Linked DNA regions of Danio rerio. The protein of the gene in region 2 interacts with the protein of the main gene of each other region in a pairwise test. Links are inferred from orthologs where the notes say so. Each region holds a gene or a part of one and is shown on either strand. Other genes may lie near its edges.

Region 1 (2,537 bases), on a different chromosome or scaffold from region 2:
AAAAATGTTGTAAAAAAATTCTAATTTCATCATTTTCAATGACTAACCTGTTTTTTGAGGGTATTTTAGTTTGCTGCATCTTGTTGTAAAACATATTAAACAACAAAGGCAAAATATAAATTAATTATTTAATTTCAGGTAACATTTAAGATATTTTAACTTTAAACAATAACTTTAGTATTTTTGAGTCTCTTTTTGTGGTTTCATGTAGCAAAAATGAATAAAATTAAATTAAATACAGCTGAAGGCAAAAAATGTAAATTATTTTAATAAATGTTTAAACAAAATCTTTATAATAGGTTCAACTATATATTTTATTTTGTAATGTAATTATTTTATTTTGTATTATTTGAGTATTTTTGTTTTTTGTTTTTATTAAATCAATAATAATAAACAATAAATGTCTCAATTGAACATAAAACTGTATTTTGAGTATGTTTTTGTTAGTCTTTTCTTGTTTTAAAAATGAATACAATTAAATTAAATATAGTTTAAATATAGTTAGAAGGCTAAATTATTACATTATTTTAATACTTAGAGATTAGTTATTAAAAGTAGTTTAAAAAATCGATATAATATTTTTAATTTAGAGAGTATTTTTTATTTTGCCGTTTCTTGTTAAAGATATTATCTTATTAAATAATATCAATATATTGATTACAGTCCAAGGCAAAATTTTAATTAATTTAATTGTTTAATATTTTTAAGGTGCTGTTTAAAAGAGATTTATCAACAATTAAACACATTTTTAGTAGCTTTTAATTTGCTGTAAAAGTGAATTAAATACAGTCAAAGAAAACTTTAGTATTTTAAACAATTAAAAATGTTGAAAGAAAACTAATATTTACTTTTACTTTGTAAAAATAATATTTTTACAAAACTTTAATAATTAATTTCTAATGACCAACTTCTTTTGTATTTGAGTATTTTATAACTTTGTTGTTTCTTGTAAAATAAATTAAATAAATACATCTGAAGACATATTGATTTTAGTTCAAATATATTTAACCAATGCTTTTAACAAACTGTTTATTTATATTTTCCTTTTTAAATAATTTCTAATAACTCATCTCTTTAGCATTTTGAGTATTTTTAAATTTGCTTTAAATTTTGTGTTGTAAACATGTAAAATTAAATACAGATGAGTGTTCAAACATCTTTAATACTTAATTAAAATGAGGGCGAATAATAAAGAATAAGAAATGCTGCACTGTGACTGTCAGTGTCGTTTTACCCGCTCAATAGCTTCTTTCTCCTGGGGTGTGACTTGGATGTAGTTCATGTGCCCACCCCCAGCCTCAGCCACACCCCCTGCCCCACCCCCTTGTCCCGCCTCCTGCACTGGCTCATTCAGCATCTGGATGAACTGCTCCTGGTGGCTGCTGATTTGCTGTTAAACAGGAAACACATTTCTGAGGACAGATCGCACACCTCGCATATTGAAAACCTTAATTACGTGTACTTCACATTCATTAGGATCTGACCTCACGATCTGTCAAGACATAGCTAAGCTAATGATTATACACACACACTAGCTGGAATAAAAAAAAAAATATATATATGCATGCATGAGTGAGTATGTGCGAGTGTAAGTATGTGTGTCTCTGTGAGTATGTATTGAGCACCTGCAGGAGCTGTGGGTTTTCCCTGCCGATCTGCTGCAGTAGAGCCGGGAGCAGTGACGGGTTCTGCTGGATGATCTGCCTCATCTGCAGGAACTGCGGCTGGTTCCTCAGGAACTCCAGAGGGTTCGCTACACACACACACACACACACACACACACACACACACACGCACACAAACAGTAATGCAATTAGACTGAGTGGCTACTGTGTGAGCCCTGACAGAGCTGGTATTATGGGGTCTGTGTGCGAGTGTCAGACCTCCGGATGCTGAGCTGGGCTGTGCTGGAGCTGTGCTGGACGGAGAGGAGAGACCTGTGGATATAGCAGGAGCTGGAGCTGAAGCTGGAGTGCTCCCTGAGGGAGACACTGCATCCACTGCACCCACAACACTGCCCTCACCCTCCGCTGGGATACCCTGAACACACACACACACACACACACACACTCAATATTACGCTCTGAGGTTATTATTCTGTTCATCAACACATGCTTAAGTATATGTGAACCACTGAACAGAACCGTTCAATACTGGATTTACACAGAATTTCTCAAGTTGAATTGAATACCTTTTACTACCTTTTTAATACCTTAAAAAAATGTATACCAGCACGACTTAGAGCTGCAACTGTAGAGGTGTAAATGAAATATCTTTCCAAATGGAAGAACATATTGCAGATAACATAGATTTAAGTAAAGCAGAGAGATTCATCAAGATGTCACAATCAGCCTTTGTCCATAGTTTAATCAATGTCATGTCATCAATTTCAATAGCTGCTCTTTTAACAACAGTTCGGTACGGTTACAGTTGTTTCTACACTGAACCAGGAATGGCATGGCATGATTATAAACCGTTCTCGGCATGGTTAGACAATCGTGCTGAACTGTGCCAATAGATTCTGTGTGGCAGAGCTC
Region 2 (4,131 bases):
TCCAAATATCTTTCAATTCTTTAAGAAAGAAGCATTCTCTAGACCAGCACAGCATATTAAAATCACCAGTCCAGCGCACCTGAAATATAAGTGAAAAAGCCTCTATTGAGATGACTATTGCTGTAAAACAGCAGGATTGTGCAGCGCACTTGTGAAAGTCAGTATTTCAATGGTAATAAAGGCTTTTAAACTTTTATCCTCCTCCTCGAATGCCTTGGAGGTCTGATCTTTTAGAAATCTTTAGATATTTGGACCAGAAACAAGATTAAAAACTCTAAGAAGATCATTTTTGCAGTGTAGAAATGAACTGAAATGGTTCTGAAGTGTTGTGTTGGATCAAGACATCGAGAGCCCCTCTCTCTGTGGACATAAACTGTCCTCTGTGTGGTTCGGATCAATGCAGTGTCCAGAACCCCTTCAGACGCTCCAGATTTCTGCTTCTGGATGACTGATTGACTGATTGACTACACGTGTTGAGCGCTGTGGCAGATGTCTGACAGACTCCACTGCTGCAGGATCTGTTTTATTTTAAGATGTTTCTCTCTGCCTCACGGGTCTGCATGTGTTTCCAGGCTCAGGCTCCATCTTTAAACACTCCCTCATTCACATTAACACGCGTGTGTTGGGGTTCACAGTAGCCGTTTTCAAGCTTCCTATAATGTGTTGAGCAGAGAAACTGGCGTGAATGCAGCTGAGCAGATGACACACACACATCACTGAGCAGATGACACACACACACATCACTGAGATGTCTGTTTGATGTTTGTGCTTACACAAATCTACTAGACATCAGTAAAAAGTCATTTGTGTCTTGAAGTGAATATTTTCAAAGTTCTCAAAAGTGTGAATACTTTAAAAAACATTAAATAATCGAATTACCTCATTTAAAACAAATAAGTTCTGCGTTTAATCAGGATCTGTCCACATGAGGTGTAGCGCAGCGCGCCACTGGGCGGCGTTCCTGATGTTTTGATTCGTCACGTGACAAGCAGAACGGTTAGAAAGTAACATCAGTAAATGTCCTGCTAAATTATTTATATCGACTAAACGTGTAATTCAATTGATAGTGTATCGGAGATCTTAATCTGTCGATTTTAAACGCAGCCTTGCCGCAGTTTTTATTCAAAGAGCGCTTGTTTTTAGGTGACTCTTATTCTGACATGTTTTGACGCGTCGCTGTTTCCGTCAGTTCCGTCATTCACACACTTTCAAACATGGAGTCTATATTCCACGAAAAAGTAAGAATCGCTTTCAGATAATGCTGTGTATGAGTGATGTGTAGATGATCTGGGAGAGCTTCTCCTGCAGGAGGGCAGATCTGTCGAGTTCAGTCTGCTGCTCCGGCTTGATATCTCTGAGGCGCTCGTGGACTTTTATCGAGTGTCAACATCCGACACGGGCAGACAGACAGTCCAGCACATGTGTGTTTACCGCCAGAGCGGCTCCTCTTCACTGCTGCACTCCGCCACACAGCGCTGTAGAGGAGGACACTGAGCCTGTAGACTGAGGGAGTGCTGGAGAGTGTGTCTGAGCTGAAGGAAACACGACATGAGCAGAGTTTACACGACGAGGATGATATGTGTGTGTGTGGTGTGTGTGTGTGTGTGTGTGTGTGTGGTGTGTGTGTGTGTGTGTGTGTGTGTGTGTGTGTGTGTGTGTGTGTGTTGTGAAAGAGTTTGTGAGTGAGTGAAACAAAGAAAGAAATGTAGAGTCTGAGTGAGAGTGTGTGTGTAAGAGAGCAAGAAAGTGTGTGTTTATGTTTGTTGACAAAGAGTGTGTAGTGTATGTGTGAAACAGATTTTGTGTGTGTGTGTGTGTGTGTGTTACAGTAGGAGTACTCTGTGCAGCATGATGATGATGATGATGATGATCATGGTGTGTGTGTGTGTTACAGCAGGAGGATGATGATGATGATGATGATGATGATGTTGATGTTGTTGTGTGTTTACTGTGTGTATGTGTGTGTGTGTTACAGCAGGAGGGCTCTCTGTGCGCGCAGCACTGCCTGAATAACCTGCTGCAGGGCGAGTACTTCAGCCCGGTGGAGCTCTCCTCTATAGCACAGCAGCTGGACGAGGAGGAGCGCATGCGCATGGCGGAGGGAGGAGTGCAGACGGAGGAGTACCGCACATTCCTGCAGGTACACACTCACACACACACACACACACACACACACTCACACACAGAGCTCAGGGTCTCAGTGTAACCTGCTGTGTTCTGTGTGTGCAGCAGCCGTCAGGGAACATGGACGACAGCGGCTTCTTCTCCATCCAGGTCAGTCATAGTTACCCGTTACTCCTCACAAACACTACAACAACAAATCAGACAAAGCTGCTGGGACAGACGGAAAACACGAACCCTCTGCTGTCATTCAGACTGCAGAAACAGGGCGGTGATCAGGTGATCTGCTGGATGATGATGTGATGTCCACAGGTGATGGTGATGGTGATCTGCTCATCAGGAAAGCTCTAGTGCTTTAGGAGCAGAGATGAGTCGAGGATCTCCAGTTTGAGCACAGATATGAGAGAATATGAGTGAAGTGTGTGAACACAATGATCCTCAGAGGAAGACATGTGGAGATTTCACCTTCAGCAGTGCAGAACAGCATTAAAGACTGAAGGAGTCTGGAGGAAGCCCTATGTTAACAGTGTCCAGCAGCGCTTCTCTAGGCTCTGGGCGTCTGGGATGGAGCATCACACAGTGGAGACGTGTCCTGTGCTCAGATGAAGCAGAGTTTCAGGTGTTTCTGGGAGAAATGGACGCCGTGTGCTCCAGACCACAGAAGAAGAGGATCATCCAGACTGACACCAGCAGCAGGCCGGCTCTGTCATGGTCTGGGGTTGTGTCGGTGCTCTGGGCAGAGGTGACCTGCTCTTCTGTGATGCTCCAGTAATGCTGAACAGCACAGAGAGATTCTGGACCCGCATTACAGAGTCCTGCTGCGGAGGAAGAGGAGACAGACACTGGACTGGCCTGCCTGCAGCCCCGACCTGTCTCCAATAGAGAATGTGTGGCATGAAGAGCCCGTACTGTTGCCCACATTAAGACTGGTTTGTCTTTAGTGCATAAACAGCTTACCAGTGTGGTGAAGAGGAACAGCAGCAGCAGCAGCAGCACACACTGCTGAACGCTTCACTGACACGGCTCACTCTGACATGTGCTGCAGAAACCAACACTGGAATACGTGGAAAACAAACGATGATGATGATGATGATGAACACATGAATTAAATGTTTATAGAGACCTGTGTGTGTTTGTGTGTGTGTGTGTGTGTGTGTGTGTGTGTGTGTGTGCAGGTGATCAGCAATGCTCTGGGTGTGTGGGGTCTGGAGATCGTCCTCTTCAACAGCAGAGAGTACCAGCAGCTGCAGATGGACCCCATGTGAGTGTGTGAGCGCTGTATCCTCTATGTGTGTGTGTGTGTGTGTGTGTGTGTGTCTCCTCTGCACACACTCATCCTCCTCTGCTGTCTTTCAGGCATGAGAAGGCCTTCATCTGCAACTATAAGGAGCACTGGTTCACCGTGCGCAAGCTGGGACAGCAGGTGTGTGTGTGTGTGTGTGTGTGTGTGTTCAGGGTCAGAAAGGTGTGTGTTTGTTGACTCTTTCTTTCTCTCTCTGTGTGTTTGTGTGTGTGTCAGTGGTTTAACCTGAACTCTCTGCTGACGGGTCCGGAGCTGATCTCAGACACATACCTGGCCCTGTTCCTCGCACAGCTGCAGCAGGAGGGTAACACTCATTATCGTGTGTGTGTGTGTGTGTGTGTGTGTGTGTGTGTGTGTGTGTGTGTGTGTGTCCGCTTCAGCGCTGCTCTTGTCCTCCTGCAGGTTACTCTATATTTGTGATTCGGGGGAATCTGCCGGAGTGTGAAGCGGATCAGATCCTGCGCATCATGAGGGTGGAGCAGCAGCAGCGGCCCAAGCTGATCGGAGAGGAGGAGACGCAGAGGTACACACACACACACACACACACACACACACACACACACACACACACACACACACACACACACACACACTGGAGTCTCCATAATTGAGCACTGCAGCTGATTGTGTGTGTGTGTGTGTGTGTGTGTATATATGTATGTGTGTATGTTGTCAGGATGTCAGCACCGCACGCGTCTGAAACCACA
Region 3 (3,658 bases), on a different chromosome or scaffold from region 2:
GTATTTGGACTTTTGGGGGAAACCTGAACACCCGGAGGAAACGCACGCCAACATGGGGAGAACATGCAAACTCCACACAGAAATGCCAACTAACCTAGTTGAGGCTAGAACCAGTGATCTTGTTACTGTGTGGCAATCGTGCTACCCACTGCGCCACCATGATGCCTGTTCTTTTTCATTTTAAGCAAAAACAACAATACATACAGCGGGGATAATAGGTATTGAACACGTCATGTTTTTTCCTGTGAATAATATTTCTAAAGGAGCTGTTGACATGGAATTGAAGCAGATTTTGGAAAAAAAACAAACAAACAAATCTGAAAAATTAGCTACGTGTAATAACTATGGAACGATACAAGGAGAAAGTACTGAACTACTGAAATGTATTTAATTAAAGGTACTTTGCTGGGGTGTGTTTTGGATCATTGTCTTGCTGAAATGTCCACCCTGGTTTCATCTTCATCCTCCTGCTAATGAAGATGTTGGACTGAAGCAGCTGATATTCATTTACACTCAGGAAGGGCAGCGGGTTGCTGAAGAACTACTGAGATATTCGGTTGCTGTCTGGGCTTTCACTGCTCAACCACACCTCCCTTTCTTCATGTGTTCAATACTTTTTACCGGCATCATTTCTTTTTATTACACATATTTTCATTTGTAAATTAATTAGATTTGTTTTCTTTGCATATATGGATTTTTTGGTTGCTATCAACATCTGGGGAAAATTTCAAGTCAACAGCACCTTTGGAAATATGTTTTCTGAGAAAGAACATGGCCAATACTTATTTTCTTTGCTGTATATTGAAGTTTGGGTCCCACTTTATATTAAGTGACCTTAACTAATATGTACTTACATAGGATTTAATAGTTTGTTACAATGTACTTATTGTGTAAATACATGTATTCTTATGGTTGATTGAATACATGTATGTAATAACTTTTGTAATTACATTTGTAAATTCACTGTTGACCATCCCTTACACCTCAACACACCTTTACACCTACCCAAACCACCAAACCTGTCCATAACCCAACCTCTATCTCAAGTCAAAAGCACCACAAGTGTTCTGAAATACATTTTAAACACAGTAAGTACATTGTATTAATTTTTTTTATGTAAGTGCATTGTAGTTAGGGACACTTAATATAAAGTGGGACTGAAGTTTTTTTTTTTCATTGCACATTTATTTACTTGTTTGTCCTACTCTGCTGAGCTTCTCTAATTGTGCTTAAGACAAAACTTGTTTAAACTACTTAAAAAAATGTTTCTATTCTAGTAAGTTCAAGGTGTTTTTCTTCACACCAATTGTGATGAGTTTTTGCACCTGAATAGAAACATTCTGATGTCAAATTTGGTGTGTATTTAGCCAAAATAAAAACAGAGGATTTTATACAGCAAATATTGCCTTCCAGTTTCCTGTTCATGGTTAAAATGTAGAACAATAGTATATGTGCACATTTAAAACAAATCTATCCCTATTAAATGATTCTTTGGCAAGCAGAATAAAACATAAGCATTTAATGTATTAGAGAAAAGATGCATTCTTTTGGAAGAGGCGGTGACTGTTTGTCGTATTTATTTTCAGACAAAGGTGTTGTGTTCGGCATGCCCCTCACAGAAGAAGGAATAGCCCAGATATATCAGCTCATCGCTTACCTCAGCAAAAGTAAGTGCATGATATTAATAAAGTTGATGGCTTTATTATACAGTTCACCCAAAAAATGTACATTCTGTCCTCATTTACTCCTCCATTTGTTCAAAACTCCTTTGAGTTTTCTTATGTTGAACACAAAAGATGTAAAAAAAAATTGTGGGTTGCTGTTTCCCCTACCTTATGAGTTGTTGAACTCTTCCAAATATCTTCTTCTGTGTTTAATAGAAGAAAGAAAATTCAAACAGGTTAAAAATTAGTCAAGAATAAGTAAATGAATGGGTGAACTATTGCTTAAAATACACTAAAACATTGGAAGATTGACAAGTATTTGAATCTTTATGGTAAGGACACTGTTAAGAGGTGCTTGAACAGGTTGTTTTCCTGTAGATCTCCATGTGCAGGGTCTGTTTCGAGTTCCTGGGAACAGTCTGAGGCAGCAGACGCTGAGGGAGCAGCTCAACAGTGGAGCCGATATTGATTTCGCCGCTGGTGACTTTCATCCCAATGACGTGGCCACGCTCCTCAAGAGTTTCTTGGGAGAATTGCCGGAGCCCCTGCTGACCCACCGCCACCTGCACGCCCACCTGAAGATCACAGGTTCATCATCCACACTTCATGCTGTGCCTTCTACATCATTAGCTGCATTTCTGTTCCTCTTGCATTAGATAAAACTTACAGTGATCTCTGCTGAGACCATGTTCACATGTACATGGGTGTTAAAAAAAAGAAAGATAATCTCCATCAGGCCCGTATTGGCTAATCGGGAGAACCGGGAAAGTTCCCGGTGGGCCGGTCCGTTTTTTGGCCGCGAGGGCCAGTGTCCCTAGCTGCTTGCACTCTCAGCAGTTGCACTTTTTTAATTTATTTGTTTATTTGACCATAACCTCACTCTTTTTAATCATTATTTTGCCGCAGCTCCGCTCTTTTTATTTATTTTCTCGCAGCCCCGTGAGCTAAATGCAGCCCGCAGGTTAATGATGATCATCATTAACCTGCGGGCTGCACCCCATTCCACCCCAAACAGCGGCACCTTAGTGAATATTAATGAATATTACACCTGCTTAATGAAAATCAGATGATTTACTACATTAATAAATCTAACTTTTAATCTTAACATAACTTGATCAGAAATCTAAAATGGGGAAAAAAGAGCAGGGTAAAAACGGAGTAGACATCAATAGGAGCAGATAACATTCAGTGTTTAACAGTGCCATCGTGGTCTAGTGGTTAGCACGTTACGCATTGACGCAGCCGACCCGAGTTCGAACCTCACCAGAGTAAAATATGTTTTTTTTTCAGTGTTAAGACATAAAATACTGTTTGGGTTACTTATGTAGGAATACATTTTTTTTTTGTGTGACGACTGTTACAAAGGATTGGATATCTATATAGAATTAATGTTCTCATATTTATGAAAAACATTTGAAATTCTAAAGCAGCTGTGTCCTTGAAAAAGACATGTTAGTGTCATTTGAAACTGAATTGGAAATGACGTAATTTTAATATTGTCAGTCGTCGACTGAGGTTGACCGGTCTAAGGCTTGAAACTCCAGAGCTAAAAAGGAGTCCTACTCCGGCCCTGATCTCCATCCACATGAAAATGCAGAAATTCATTGTGATGCATTCACTGGGGGGTAATATGGTATACAGTGGGGTCTTCAAATAGCAAAGGGATCAGTTTTGATACCATTATACTGAAAACAATGCACTTATATAAGAGACAAGGATCAAATAGAATTTATTTAATACCTAAAAATGGGTAGCCGTGGTTGTCATCAAAGAATAACGCGGAGGAGAAGGATAGAGCTAGGGAAAGATGGCGAGTCATGCACCAAGTGACCTGGTCTTGAAAAAAGAACACAACTTCTGCAGTTTGGCAGTGTTTCGGGTTTTGGCCGAATGAGAAGGGAGAGGCGGCAAATACGGCAACTTGCAAATTGTGCAACAAAAAGGTGACCGCGAGAGATGGAAATGCCTCAAACCTAAGGTAGGGCTGCTCTATT

The links.
Region 1: the proteins of atxn3 (region 2) and rad23b interact in a two-hybrid assay, tested with the Homo sapiens proteins (2 studies listed by BioGRID and IntAct). The link is inferred for Danio rerio from reciprocal best matches to the Homo sapiens genes ATXN3 and RAD23B.
Region 3: the proteins of atxn3 (region 2) and arhgap19 interact in binary tests that used the Homo sapiens proteins (3 or more experiments, as listed by UniProt). The link is inferred for Danio rerio from reciprocal best matches to the Homo sapiens genes ATXN3 and ARHGAP19.

The regions. Positions count from the first base shown.
Region 1 is NC_133196.1:575,905-578,441, forward strand, and holds part of rad23b (UV excision repair protein RAD23 homolog B), read right to left. Parts: intron 2,041-2,537; coding exon 1,884-2,040; intron 1,754-1,883; coding exon 1,626-1,753; intron 1,391-1,625; coding exon 1,235-1,390; intron 1-1,234. UniProt on the Homo sapiens protein: Multiubiquitin chain receptor involved in modulation of proteasomal degradation. Binds to polyubiquitin chains.
Region 2 is NC_133192.1:59,465,566-59,469,696, forward strand, and holds the start of atxn3 (ataxin-3), read left to right. Parts: upstream 1-1,196; 5' UTR 1,197-1,214; coding exon of another isoform or gene 1,215-1,238; 5' UTR 1,239-1,548; coding exon 1,549-1,581; intron 1,582-1,975; coding exon 1,976-2,140; intron 2,141-2,229; coding exon 2,230-2,274; intron 2,275-3,296; coding exon 3,297-3,382; intron 3,383-3,477; coding exon 3,478-3,544; intron 3,545-3,640; coding exon 3,641-3,728; intron 3,729-3,826; coding exon 3,827-3,947; intron 3,948-4,100; coding exon 4,101-4,131. UniProt on the Homo sapiens protein: Deubiquitinating enzyme involved in protein homeostasis maintenance, transcription, cytoskeleton regulation, myogenesis and degradation of misfolded chaperone substrates.
Region 3 is NC_133197.1:36,976,129-36,979,786, reverse strand, and holds part of arhgap19 (rho GTPase-activating protein 19), read left to right. Parts: intron 1-1,586; coding exon 1,587-1,667; intron 1,668-2,042; coding exon 2,043-2,252; intron 2,253-3,658. UniProt on the Homo sapiens protein: GTPase activator for the Rho-type GTPases by converting them to an inactive GDP-bound state.